Lytechinus pictus: one gene and its partner. Each later gene encodes a partner of the first gene's protein in a complex. Links are inferred from orthologs where the notes say so. Each region holds a gene or a part of one and is shown in the gene's direction. Other genes may lie near its edges.

Region 1 (7,602 bases):
TTGAAACCAAGATACAATACAACAAATTTGCATTTTTATTTCAATCATGGCGAAAAGTCTATCACAGAAACTTAAAATGAATAACCAAATCCAACCAATCATTATCGATTGGGCAGTGTTGTTTTTCTAGAAAAATAAATGAATAAGTAAAATTTTATCTTTGTGATCACTGGATATCATGCGCACTAGCATTATTTGATTTGTCAAGTATCTATTCTCTTCGTGTATTCCATAAAGTTCTCAAAATATCCCTTTTCAGGTCTGATTGTCAGCGCTGTGCGCTCGCATTTTGATTGGCGAGTTTTGTACGTCTATATTAATTTCGTGGGGAGGGGGGCTTCGCGGGATAGCCGCATATGGTTATTATCATTGTTGCTGTCATCTTAATCATCATCATCATCACATCATTAACCCTAGTACTTGTATACTACTACTACTACTACTACTACTACTACTACTACTACTACTACTACTACTACTATACTACTACTACCACTACTACTACTACTATTATATTATTACTACTATTACTACTACTATATATTTCTAATACTACTACCACTTATACTACTACTACACCATTAGCATTGTCATCACCACCAAATCTCAAATAATTTTATGACCGTCATCTTGATGATATACTGCTTCAGTGTACACTAATATTTTAGTCTCCTTTGACGACATCCATGCACCATGCATGCTTGAAGCTTCTAATGGTTTTGAATATTGAAGGGGTTTTAATTTTACGATAACACTGTCTGTATATTGAAGTGCCTTTTAAGGTGCGTCTCCTGGAACAAAAGTTAGCAACCACACGAATAATATTTCAAAACTCCTTTCTACCTTACAAAATTCGTGACTAGCTAGTTCGATTTGATGGCAATTTTAGCGTCATATAATGTCATTAGGAGAACCTTTTTTGTAGAAACTTCAAGGATGCCATGCACTTAGCGAAATTGAGCAAGAAAAAAAAACATCTGGTTTGGAATTAATTGTACACTTTTCACTATTCTTTTGGCGTTTTTTTTTTTTTTTTTTTTTTTGGGGGGGGGGGGGGGGGGACTCCATCAGCATGGATACTGCACGTAGCCCTCACCCCCTTCCCCCTCAGATATGCAAGTGGTAACAACATAGAGTAAAAGAAACATATTGCTGAAAAGAAAGATTTTGAATAGTCTTTAAGATTATATTGGAAGATGATGCAACATTCAAAATTTGGAATGAAATTAATATTTGAAATATATATCAAATTGTTATGGAATTAATGTGATTTTAAGTCTCCTATAAACGGATGAAATTGTAAGGTTTTTTTTTTAAAAATCGGTGTCCTAACTTGCCTCCGTGTTTCATAAACGACATTGATTTGGTTAGTCAGCAGTAACTCATCGTACACTTAACTTAAGTATAGAGTATGCCTGTATTTTTGTATAAATTATCCCCCGCTTCCAAATATGCTAGACTGGTATGACTTCCCCAACATTCACGCCAGTGTATTCAAAGGATGTTTTGATTGGTTTATGATCAGTTATAACCATATCAAAAAATCATTTGAATCATAAAATTCATATGCATATATACTCTCATGATGCAGGGGATATAACATTTGCAATATGCTAAACGTATGGATTTGTCATGGCCAAAATATTGTAAGATTAGATTGAGCGCGGGAGCATAGCAACCGCGCGAGAAATTGGCATTTTTAGAATGCAAAACTGGGCAAATAAGCACTTTGGTCACATTTAAAGATGAATCCACACATTAACAGTAGTATTAATCACTTGATGATTTAAAAAAAAAAAATCGTTTCTGTTTTGAAAAGTGGGGAGGGGGAAGACTGTGACTGCATGCCACCCCCTCTCCGGAATGTGGGGGTTGTATCCCCATCACCCCCCCCCCCCCGGGGATTTACGCCCGTGGAATATACAAAAAGGCTTGTGTTTTTCATCAGGAGGTGGCTCAAGGTTTGGGCAGTATAGTGCATAATATGATTATAGCGTACACTATGGTGGGCAACATATACTGTCCACTGTGTTGGGTAATGTATGTTGGTAAATATATATATATATATTCTGGGCAATTATTATCCAATTGAGCAATTTATTACCCAATTGTTAGTTTTTATTACCCAATTTGGACAGATTTTAACCAATAGTTGTGTGGACAGTATGTTGCCCAGTGATGGTTAAAAATTGGGCCTTGTTTTGCCCAACATTTTTAAGAGTATATTTGGTGATGAACGTCTTTTTATCTTTTTATGACTCGATCGCCATCTATATTATCTCCAAACAAGCGAATAGATTGACGCCCATGCAACAAAGTAATAAACAAAATCGAAGCTTAATTACATCCTTAAAGGTAACAGGATGGCTTTTTCAAATATCGTATTAAATATAATTTCAAATCGTGAATGTTTGTGGATTTTAGCACAACATAATTTTCATCCAACTCTAATGTTATTCAAACATAAGTTACTGTGTAAATTAATAGTTAAAATAGTTAGTTGTAATGAACATTCTTACCAACACCCCAGAGCGGCAAATAAAAGTGACTGATAAACTCCCACTCGGTGTCGATCTAAAGTTATTGTCACGGCGGTTGTATCAACATTTTGCACATTGCTCAGTTATATATACAGCCACATCAAAAATTTAGTTTATCACATGATCACCAAGAAAATATTTCACAACACAACCAAGCACCAATGGTAGGATGTTTTCCAATCTACTTAATACACGGTTAATAAAAATCATCCTCTTTACATAGCTTAATATGATTTTCTTTACAATGACGCACGCTTAACTCGTGGCGTATATACGTTGAACTGACATTATTATTATATTACCCACGCTCAAAAACATCCACGACAGAGAAGAAAGGTTAAAAATCATGATGATATGGTATCGTGAATTATAAGAAAGAACTGTATTGGCCCCAAAAAACAATATAGGAGATTCATTTTGTCATAATTGGGGGTTATCCAAATACGATATTTTTCAACAGAGTCAAAATTCGGATAGGGGTGCGCAGTAAATAATATTGAAGCCCAGTTGGGGTACAGGCTTTAATTTGCCAAAACTGTTATTCGAGCACTGAATCTTCAAGGGCGTAGGCTGGTTTGAGCATAGTGAGGTGGAACCGGGGGGGGGGGGGGGACTAAAGGTTGGAAATTCAGCTGTTGAAAGCAGAAGGGGTAAAACAATTGTTTTGCTTGCCAGTGTCGGAACTCCTCTGCCTCAGAGGGAGAGTGCTCGACCACCCAATGCACTCCAGCCTACGCCCTTAATCTTTAATTTAGAGCAATGTTTCTTTTATCTTTTCTAGGAGGATAGTTAAAGTGGTTTTGAGATGTACATAGTAGAAATGCCGTTTTGTCACTGCCCCAAATCACTATAATAGAGTCAAAGTAGGGGTAGGATACCTTCGACAGGCCGGCCCGGCTCCTGTCACGTTAGGCTGTGAGCCAGCTGTGAGATACCAAAACTTATTTCCATGTAACCTGCATATAGCAATATCTCCTTCAAGTTTTTCAAGAGGTTTTATAAAAATTATAAAAAGTTGCTTTACTTATCCAAGCCACTGGCGGACTTTGAGAAGCAAAATTATTTTTTTTAATCTAAAAATGGCATTAAAACAAAAGTGTGCCCCCCCCCCTTCGAAAGTGAAGGCCTTTTTTTTTTTTTTTTTTTTTTTTTTTGCTTGTAAAAATTTTTCGGCGACGAAATATCATTAAGTTTTAGTGGTTAAAAACCCCCTTTTCTTTTGCGTATAACAAATTTTCCCTCGAGAAAATGTGACCCCCCCCCCTTTTGGAAAATGCTGGATCTGCCCCTGATCCAAGCTATGTTCTTGAATTGTATACCAACGATCTCGTTGGTTTCATTGGTGTGACTACAACGAAAAGGTTGATCAATTATTGGGGGTTCATTTTAGCACAATAACGAGTAATAAGGGGTCTACTGACGCATTTGCCCTCCATCTAAGCAATTTATATACTGTTATGTCATGAAGCGTGTCAATATGAATCTCGTTTGTCGAAAACTGATTGTCCATTCGGTTGCTGATGTTCATGATAAAACAAATAACAAAGTTTTGACCAAAAACATGGACATTTTGGCTCAAATTTTCCCCTTTTTATCGAAATCTATCACCTGACTGTTAAGAAAACTATTTAAAACAATTTATACTTTCAAAATCATAGCGAAACTTAATTCATTTACAATATTTCCACAGTCTGGCCTGGGTAAAAAAATGAAAATCAATCCAAGATGGCTTGAAAACTACAAATTTTGAACCCACCGTGGGACAAGGCAAGGAAACATCAAAATTCATTAACTAAACACTTCAAAAATTCGTTAAAAAATACGTTCTCCGATACAGGCGATTGTGCATCTCCCGGGGCATCTCCGACTCTTGTCTGCAATACCAAAGCTGGCTCTGGCCTGGCCCAGTCGAGTCTGGGTTGTTATTTTTTCCATGTACCTTTTTCATTTGAGGATACTGTACCCATTCGTAAATTGAGAGTTCTGTTCGAGAAGACAGCATGTGAAACTCTGTGATTTTCCACAAATTTAAAGGAATCTGTTAACATATGGAGAGGGGGAAACTGCCCCCTAAGAAGCCCCCGATTCGGCGAGGTAATAAATATCGTACAATTATACAGAAATCGTCTATTTTATGTTATTTATTTGTCATTTTATATCCTGATTTATTGAACTACCGTCGTGGGCAACGCGTGCGTGGACGTGGTAAAGCGGGAACAATGAAGATGCACTGCATTAGCAGCGGGTGTACCGTCCACGTCCAAGAGGCAAGAGATCTAAAGTAAAACCGAGAAGTGCGGCGCGAATCAGTGCTGTAGCGATGCCAAACCGGCCGCGCGTTTGCATCGGTATGCTCTGCCCCCGTGTAAAACATGGTCTCAGAAAACTCTTTTCCAGTCTTTAAATATTCATTCAGTAACACTCTGACCCACAAATATCCGCAGATTATCAAATTAAAATACGAAATTCTCACTTTACATTCTGATTTGAGGTTAGAATCGCCAGATATTTTGCACTTGAAATGTGTCATTGAAACCTGCCTGATCGGACGATGCGCGCGACCATTTTGAATCGCAGAAGCCCGAAGTGGAAAGTACTGCTCCTGTCATAATCATGTGACACACAAGATTTTGACTTACACCAGTGTTTGTGGCAAATTGAATCGTTAGCTTAGTACTTTTGCTCTGAAATTATGTCTAAAAAATCCGATTTTTTTTTTTTTGCATTTTGATATCATGATAATGATATGTTGAGATTTTGTTGATATGGTGATTTGATGATGACATGAATGTTTTGACCCCTTTATCGTACCCCTACACATGAAAAACCAAAAAAATCCCAGCATCATAAGATTCTTTGAATTCTAAGCTTTGTAATGATGCCAAACTTGTTACCAATTAGTAAACCGCGAAATACCGCCAGCGGGAAAGACTGGGGCTTGCACTGTCCTCAATCTGGAAAATTTAGGGTCAATGCGGATACTGTAGTTTGTTGAGTAGGGGTGATTGGTTTTTGGTGATTATGTAACAGATATTGATGGACCTTTGTTGCCCTTTTAAATCCTGATTATGGCCCAAGACCCCATCTTTTTTTTGCCCAATTTACTATAGATCTTTGTTTACCCCTTCCATAATTTGCCCCAGGCCCCTGCGTGGCATTACAACCCGCCCCCTCACCCATAATTGCCATTACTCACCCGACCCAATTTTTTTTTCTTGGGGGGGGGGGGCCCTATGTTACACGTACCCCAAACATTACTGGCCCTTGCCCCGACCCCATTTTTTTGGCTACCTTTACTCGTCCAACCTCACCGGTCCATGCCCCCCCATCCCGACCTAATTTTTTTTTTCTAGCTACCTTTCAGTCGTCCAACATTACTGGCCCCTCCCCCTATCATGACCTTATTTTTTTTTAGCTACCTTGACCTTTGTCCAACCCTACCGGCCCCTGGCATAAATTTTTTGAGGGTAATAATGGATGCAGCTGGGCAAGTACCTCTGCTCTTGACTTGTTAATTACATATTTATCTCATTTGCATATTTACTATTTTTTGTAGAAGATAATATTCTATGAATTTGTTCTTGTGCAATTGAACATCATATCATTGATTATACTTGTATCCAATTTATTTGTAATGAAATGGACCATACACAAGAACAAACATCATTGTAAAATATACAATATGTATACTACATGTATATTGCGTCATCTCATTTGCATATGCATTTAAATTTGCATATTTTAATACATGTATCTTGTTTGAATTATATATTATACTAGTTTTTAATCAAGGAATGGGCCACTTGACATATTGTTGGTGGTTAATTACATCATACATGTAGTTTGAATAGAAATATTTTTAACATACATGTAGGTTTACAATATGCGTATCATTGCATCACACCCTCATTTACATATAGGATCTTTGGCATTTTAAATTTGCATATTTAACTATATGAAACACTGTTTTTTTAATAGTTTATATTGGTTTAATCAAAGAATGGGCCAATTGACATTTTGGTGGTTAATTGCCTCAAAATCACTAGCATGGGTGAAATTACAAAGGCAAATACACATTCCGCATGAGCAAGAGACATTTTTAATGATATGCGTGCATATTTAATTAGATATTTGCCTTATTTGCATAAATTAAGAAAAAACGTAGTCTTATTGCGAAGAGCAGGTCACAAGCTTCAAAATGAATGGTCACAACATATGTAAACAGTAAATATTTTAAATGATGTGGCATCGCTATCAGTGGAGCACTGCCACTCTCCATAGCTCAAACGTCAAAGTATTCTTAAAACGATCGTATCAGATCTCTTTTCTTATTGTGTATCATTTCTCTATGAGAAAGGAACACAAGTTGAGTTATGCTCCAGCTGGAGCTTAAATTCAAGTCAAGTGAATTGAAAGAAGGAAGAAATGAAAAGAATTAAAAAAGGATAAAAATAACTTTATTTCTCCCTTCTTGACTTACTATTAAGAACCAATAAAAGAATGAAGAAAGAAAAGGAGAAAAAATAAATAAACAAGTGAATGAATCTAAGGGAAAAAAAGAATGGAAAAAAAATTAAAAGAAGGCAGAAAAAATGAAAGAAAGAAATAAAGACAGAGAGATAGAAAACTGGAAAAAAGAAAGAAAGAAAAATAGAGACAAAAAAATATATGCAAGAAAAAGTAAAAGAAGGGAAAAAAACTAAAAAAGGAAAGTAAAATAAAGAATGATTGAAACTGAAAGTAAATGAAGGCAGAAGAATTAAAAGAAGGAAGAGGGATAGAGTAAGTATGGTGGTGTTTAATTGATAAGTACCCCCTCCCCATTCTGGCTGGTGCTGCCACCCCACCCCACTACTCTAGAGTGTAACTTGCTCAAACGTGAAAGTTGCTTGTTAAGAAAGCTTTTTTAATGTTCATTTTGCTTTGTAACTAGGCCTACCGTTGCCCGACAAGATCATCCCCCTGGGGAGTAAAGGCCGCCCTGAACAGGATCAAAAGCCCACCCCTTCAGTCTATCCTGACCGCAAGAGGGAGGCCAGCGCACCCCTGCCGAGCCATGTGA
Region 2 (7,783 bases), on another chromosome or scaffold:
GAGGGCAATCTTTGATTTTTCAACTCGTGAAACATTCACCTCGTCTGAGGGATTTTAAAAAATAAAGGGTCAGTTTTCTCTACCTGAATCCAGGCCCTGATTACCGTCGGACGAAAACGGTTTACAAATCAAATTGTTCACTTTAATCGTTAAAGGATAAGCCCACCCCAATAAATTCGATTCGAATAAACAGAGAAAATAACAATCAAACGAGCAAATCACCGAAAATTTCCGATATCATTTTAAAACGGAAGAAAGTTATGACATTTTAAAGTTTTATTTAATTTATCCAAACAGTTATAATTACATCCTGCATGGTCAGTATGCAAATGAGGGGGCGGATGACATCACCCACTCACTATTTCTTTAGTATTTTATTATATATGAAATATGTAATATTTTAATCTTCTCCCGTCATGATTGTCAGTGTGAAGCAAAGGTTTATATCTCTCTGAAAATGAGTGTATAGCATTGTTTTAACATTTTGTGGTTCAGTCAAGTTGGCCCTTTAAATCTATCTTTAAAACAATAAAAACTGACAAAGAAATAGTGAGTGGGGAACATCATCGATTTAGATATCACTGAATAATGCATGTAATTTTTTTCTGAAAAATAAGCAAAACTTCAGAGAATATCATAACTTTCTTATTAGACATCCGATGGCGATGAAATTTCCGTTATTACGCTGCCTTGTTTGATTTTTCTCTACTAATTCAAATCGACATTTTTCTTGGGTGCATCGACTGGACTTTTACATGGTCAGTTTCAGTGGCGTACCTAGGATTTTTCCCGTAGGTACGCTAGTGGTCAGTTTGTACATTAATATTATACAACTTTCCGAGCTCTCTGCAACGACAGTGACGACAGCCTGACTTGGCGAGAGAGCGGGTGGATGAAAATTGTTAGAATTAAAATGCTGTTTATTAGTGGAACACTTTACAGCTTGAGTATTGCGGCAGCATTATTATTTTTTTTTCAATTTTTTAATTGTCTGGGCCGGTGAGGCAACATACTGAGGAACACTCCTGAATTGGGGAGGGGGCAAACGCCCCCATGCACCTTTTTAAATCTTCTCTCATTCATAGGCAATATCGGTCCCTATTTAAGGTATTATAATTATAATGCATATATGGCCCGCCCTTCTCATGCTTATTGGTAGAATTTACGCCAAAACAAGAATATTGTATGCCCCTGAAAAGAATATACGTTGCCTTACGGTTATCTAGTGCACGTGTCCCATAACAAAAATACTAATTACGTATATAAAATTGATATGCCATTTTAATGGCCAGGTCGCGACCCCCCCCCCCCCCCCCCCCCCCGATCCTCGTGAGGGGAGCACTGAGGGAGCATACCTCCTTCCCTTTCCCTATACTAGTATTAATGGCCTTCCCTTTCTTAATTCGAGCTCAGCTGTGGGTGTAGCGAGTATACTTGTTCTGTTTTTGTCAAGCAAGCTATCTTGCAAATTCAATGATGTTTATTATTTTCTTCGCTTGCGGTAGTACAGTACATGTATTTTTAGTAACGTCTTTTCTTATTGTAATCATATGCAAACTAGAGAGATTGACGTTGACCATAGAGATGTATACTAACTACGCTAGAGTGCGGAGTCGCCATAGGCGCGCGTACTTAACGTCTGTGATTGTGTGGAGCGTGGCGGCCATTGCTCGATAGGTATAGATTCGCAAAAGTACCCGGATGTACCCATAGCTCGTGCGTTGTAACGCTGTGAAAAGGGGTGCCGTCTCCGGCCTTTTTCTTGAAGAAAAGAACACAACCTCATAAAAATCGAAAATATGAATGACAAATTGCATCTCAATACACTATTAGAGTGATTACATGGGGATTATGCTATTAATTTGGCATTTTAAAAACCTGATTTCTCGGGATGAAATTCTAAATAATTTGCATTTACCTGTCCGTTTATAGGCCTGTAATAGATAACAATGTTGATATACTATCATATAAACAATCATATAAAAATAAAAACATACAGCGGACATTAATAGAAAGATTGACAATTAATTCAAAAGACTGCAGTGAATTAGCCCTTCTCTGGATTTCCCTACCTTTAACTGCATCGTCCTCCTTCCATCCTTCCCACATTTACGTCCTTTGATTCTATGTTTATGTTGGATATAATTTTGTAATTTCTATATAGGCCTACATGATATGTAACTTGCTTTAATTTGTATGAAATATAGGCCTATCATTTTTATATATTAAGTTGTACAATAATTCTGTATAAGTTAGTGTTTTGATCTACATGCGCTATTAAAGGGCATCTCATTATTGTTCTTGGTGAGCCTCCCGTTACACCATCAATGTTGAAATTTGTGTTATTTGGTGAACGTGCTGATTTTGTTCTTATAGGAACATAATAAATTCCCCCAAATCTGCAGGCCTATATGGCCCGAAAATAAAATATTGATTTAAAATGTCGAGAATATAGCCTAATTTGTTCAAACTTTTCAAAAATGACAGTTTTAATTCCCTTCACTTTAAGTTAGATTTGTTTTAATTCGCTTTTTAGGGGCCGTGTGTGCAATTAAAATAACAAACACACCTAAGCAAATTCGCTTTAACATACTGATCAAAATAAAATACAGGGGGCGCGACCGGACCCCTCCCTGAAATGAAAATGAACATTACACATAATAAATGATTGTGATTTTATGCACCCCATCACTTTCAAAATCATTCCGCGACGCCGTAATTAACATAATATAATAATTTTGTTCATCCATGGAAATCTTATTTAAAAAAAACTGATCGAATAACCAAACTCAGGTCCATAGGCCAGCAAATGACATTAAAGGAAGAAAACTAGAAAATCAAATTCAGTTATACTTTTAAAATGAAAAACAAAACTGGATATTCAAAACGCGTGTTTATCTGTTTATATGTTAGGCCGGTGCCAGTGCTTACAAATATTTGCCATAAAGTTCATTTATTCAAGCGACACAGACACAGTTAATTAACACAATTTCAAGGCAGGTATCAAATTTGAGATTAAATTAGGATTTTTAATATCTTATTCCAAGTATTGTCACTTTTGCAATATTATTGTTTCATAATTATGTTTGGTTTTAGTACTCACAATTTTGCAACCGTTTTCATAATTATGATAAGTTTGCATTGATGTCTTTCATGATATTAGTTTTATACACTCTTGCAGTAGTAATAATATTCTTTATAGTATAATACAAATTATATATCATAATCCCGCCCCTTTTCTTCTCTCCTTCTCCCCCTTCTTCCTCTCCTTATTATTCTATCCTTGATTTGTTCACATGATATTGGTCCAATCATTATATATAGGATCAGAAACAACGGCGATAAACAAAATATTTCAGCCAGTTTGCCGATCAGCGTATTTTCAGCCGGGGAGAATCAAGTCTATACTTTCCAGAAAATCAAAGTAAAATTGTTTTGCGCATTGTGATTTGTTTACTCTCCGAAGTTTTAAAATGTTTGCAAGGCAATAACACTGTACATAAACATCCAACCCCCCATTAGGCCTCCTGTACATTGCAAAATTGTACGACTGCATGCGCGCATTTGATATGCAAATTTTGCTGTCAACAAACTTTTCTATACATTGATCGCAAGTAAGAAAGTATACTTTTATATACATATTTATAAATATGATGGGATGGTTGCCAGCAAAGGAAATCTAAATCATCAATTTTTAACTGAATCAATGCGTAAATCATTTCCAAATATCAATAAAAAGTCATTTTATGATTCGCGAGTTTTTGTGATGTTGGTTTACATCAGCGTGTAAGACATGGGGAAAAGGGATCGAGTTATTATAGGCCCTATTGTGTAGATATATATGGAAAATGAATTATAACAATTATCTAAAGTGAAGAAATAAATTATCAGCAATCAGCATAATAGTGAAACTATGAACTATAAAAATACAATCGTGGTTTTTTTTTCGATACAGCGTCTCAGATGCATCAGACACTGTGATATGGCCTATGAATTTTCTTAGGTTAATGTACATCAAATCATATTAAAACACATTAAATTTATTTATCAGGACCTAGGCCTAAATGTTATTTTTGATATTCATCTCTTCCAAATCATTAGAAAATAGAAGTCATATTAATGTATCGAAATTTTACCTAAGCAAAAACAATTGGGACTTTAAATCGTTTGCCTGTATTATAGCTGTATCGGCCTATATTATGCGCTATAGATAGGCCTATATAGGCCTTTTGACCTCAGTTTTGCTAGATTTTTGTTGTATTTGAACTTTAATCCAGTGCAATATTTACAATTTTGCTTTTCCATATGCTTTCGTGCTCATATGTCATCAATTTGTCATGTTCTGTGCTCATCCGTGTACATGCCCCATAGGTACTGTACGCTCATGGCAGGCTGCGAATACCTATCGAGCAATGGCGGACGGTCTCCACGTAATCACAGCGATTTGACGAAGTACGCCCTCTAGCGTTACTAGTATACATCTCTATGACGTTGACCAATCACCAAGTTGTCACGTGACTAGGGCTGCGCTGCGATAATTTTCCGTACATTTATTTTTTGCGCGATGGGTTTTCGCTGCTGCTAAAATCGGCAGCTCTCGCGAAGCTGCCAAAAAGGAGGAAAGGGAATCAAATCTCTTATTTTGGGCCTCGTAGGCGATATTTCTACACAGTTTTGGCATGAGAGATAGATAAATTAATAAGGAACAAGATGCCGGTGCTAGTTTTTCTAATAGACACCAGTGCTTCGATGAATCAGAGGACACATTTGGGCACATCACTCTTGGATATTGCAAAGGGAGCTGTCGAGACATTCATGAAGGTAAACTGCAATGCATTTTGGGTGATCGATTTTTTTTTATGAAGTTCAGTGACTTTCTTTTTACGAAAGAATGATAGATTGGGTTGCTTACGATATATGATGCTGTTGTTGATATTATTAAATGATCATACTAATTTTTTTTAGATGTATTGTTGTTCATTTTAAACATTCATACTGTGAAATTCTTTTGTTTTTCTCATGTTGTAACGTTAGCTTCGCCTTCGAGACCAAGCCAGCCGCACGGATCGCTACATGCTGGTGACGTGCGATGAGTCCCCGGCTACAATAAAGGTACTATAAGGTCCTTGATTTTTCTCGTTTGTCATAAATTATAGTCATTTATTTGCGAGATCGCGATTCTTCAACACTTCCCCCACGAAATAATGTTGGGTTCATGTCGTTCTGGGTGGTAGATTCGCAAAATATTGCATGAAACTTAGCACCAGATGTACTTCCTCCACACAAACGTCCATCTTGTTTCAGACTAAAATTGTGGGTCACGTCAGGATATCGATCATAAAAGATCAACAACGATCAATATTCATGAGCTGAGCTGAAGTTAGCAGACATTAATGAGACAATGCATGCAGACACTTGTGGATTCAATGAGTATACCTGCCATATAATAATATTTAATAATAATAATAATTAGACTTATATCGCGCCAAATCCACTCTGTAGAGTGCTCAAGGCGCTTTTTAGGAAATTATAAAATAAATTAAGAAGAATTGAACAGAAATGTTTTGAGGTAATGTTTAAAAGTTTCTATATATATTAATATGATCAATAAATAAATTTGTGTTAGTTTTTCACTTTTAGTTGTGGTTTTATTTACATGTATGGGTAGCCAAATGTGACAAAAATCCCAAACATTTGAGAATCAATCTATCAACACAATCAACATTCAACCATAGTCATAGTCTTAGAAGTTAGAGCCATGGCATAGCCATAGGGTACGTATGGTATGCATGTTCTTTTCAAAAAGTTGATTTTATTTATAACTTTTGAGAGCAAAAGAAAGAGATAAAAATAATGGTGAAGGATTGTGAAAAAAATGACAAAGTTATGTTTTTTTGTGTGATTTTTTTCTCAAATTGAAAGTGATTTTATTTGTGTGGGGGCGCATCGATATGGTAAGTGGGAATAAGCCCTAATGTTAGGAGTAATAGCTATAATAGTTTTCTTCACCACTGATCGAACCATGAAGGAAAGACATTTTTTTTTAAATATAGAATTTAAGATCCTGAAATAGGGGAAGTTCACCCTGACGAAAGTTTATTGTAAAAAAGCAGAAAAAATAAATACTGGTAAAGGGTTTGAGGGAAATCCGAAGATTTATAAGAAAAATATTAGAATTTTTAAGTTTTTTATTTGTGAAATCATAAAAGCAGGAGCCCAATACGTTATTTGCTATAAAATGCGTAATTTTGCTCCTTTTTTTAAATAATGGTTCATGATTACTGTTTTTTTTAATTCCATCAGGATTGGGTGTGAACCTTGAAGAGTAATCCATTTCAGCAGCTTCAACGCTATCCCAGAAATAATTTATTTGGTGATATACAGAAATTCCAAAAACATTTTCATTCTTTTTCTCTTTTTTTTTTAGAAAATGACATTTCATAGATTTTTCTTTTATTACATTTTAAATGGGGAAGCTGCTTGCAAAGCCTTGCATACTACGATGTCCCAAATCCCAAAAAATTGTAATATTAATCTTAGGTGGATTTTTCTCAAACCTTTGCCAATATTTTTTTTATTTTTATTCTTTTCTTCTATTTTTGCAATAAACTTTTTGTCAGGCTAAACTTTCCCTTTCAATGCAGGCATGGGCAATTATTTACACCTAATGATTTTTAATGTTATTTTTATGATAATTTAGGCTGGCTGGAAGGAGAATCCTGCAGTCTTCATGACTGAGCTGAAGAACCTTCAGGCCACCGGTCTCACAAACTTGGGTCATGCCCTCAAGATGACCTTTGACCTTCTGAATGTCAACCGTCTCTACTCTGGAATTGACAACTATGGCCAGGTATTAAAGCTGTTTTCAAAGTTGCCTGGTGGCCAAGTGCCAGGATTTTTTGTAACGAAACCTTGGTTCTCAAACAATTGTGATCAGCCACACACCCCCAAACCATTAATACGTGGCCAGGAAAGGTTCTCAGTAAAAACAATTTGTTCTTCAAAATGTTGAAATTTCAGAATTAACTTCTCTCTGAAAGAGTAATTCTCCTTTTGCACAAGTAAATAAGACGAGATACAAGAGTTTCTTAGCTTTCTTTGACACCATTTATTCTTCGGACTGCTTGGAAGTTTCACTTAAATTGCACAATGTGCACATCTCATGCTTGAGTGAATCCCAAACTTCAGACCTAGTGTTCTCATTCTTTGAAGCTCTCATTGGCCCGAATTCAAAAAGGTGGTTTTTAAAACCCATGGTTGAATCCATGGCTTATGCAGATTTCCTGTATAAATTACGCTTAATTTAGCGTGTTAAAAAAAATGTCCGATGCTGATGCGCGCTTTTGTCACAGTGCGCCAATTGACGCCTGTTAACATTGTTAGATACACTATTTTATTCATGAGTCCACTGTTTGAAGAGTGGACTCATGAATAAAATAGCGTGGATAACCACGGCAACAGGCATCAATTTGGCGCACTGTGACAAAAGCGCGCATCAGCATTTGACATTTTTTAATATACACGGTAAAATAATGCATAAACCATGGACTCAACCATGGGTTTTCAAAACCACCTTTGTGAATTTGGGCCATTGAGTTTCTTCTACACTCAATCAGATACTTGTGTGGGTTTAATATTGTTGATCGGTTTTGACAAAGTTATCATTTTTGAGAGCTCTTAGGATGTGCTTTTTAAAGCTCAATACAAACCTCTAAATTAATTTTGGGCAACTTATTGTTGGTTGTAAGTTGGTAGGTTACAATTGTAAATGCAGTAATGCATG

The links. The genes of interacting proteins can lie anywhere in the genome.
Region 2: integrator complex subunit 1-like (region 1) and integrator complex subunit 6-A-like share a complex: the UniProt entries of both Homo sapiens proteins name them as parts of the integrator complex. The link is inferred for Lytechinus pictus from reciprocal best matches to the Homo sapiens genes INTS1 and INTS6.

What each region holds. Positions count from the first base shown.
Region 1 is NC_087254.1:32,366,247-32,373,848, reverse strand, and holds the start of integrator complex subunit 1-like, read left to right. Parts: upstream 1-4,501; 5' UTR 4,502-4,588; coding exon 4,589-4,634; intron 4,635-7,473; coding exon 7,474-7,602. UniProt on the Homo sapiens protein: Component of the integrator complex, a multiprotein complex that terminates RNA polymerase II (Pol II) transcription in the promoter-proximal region of genes.
Region 2 is NC_087260.1:11,488,032-11,495,814, reverse strand, and holds the start of integrator complex subunit 6-A-like, read left to right. Parts: upstream 1-4,531; 5' UTR 4,532-4,710; coding exon 4,711-4,821; intron 4,822-5,034; coding exon 5,035-5,112; intron 5,113-6,700; coding exon 6,701-6,850; intron 6,851-7,783. UniProt on the Homo sapiens protein: Component of the integrator complex, a multiprotein complex that terminates RNA polymerase II (Pol II) transcription in the promoter-proximal region of genes.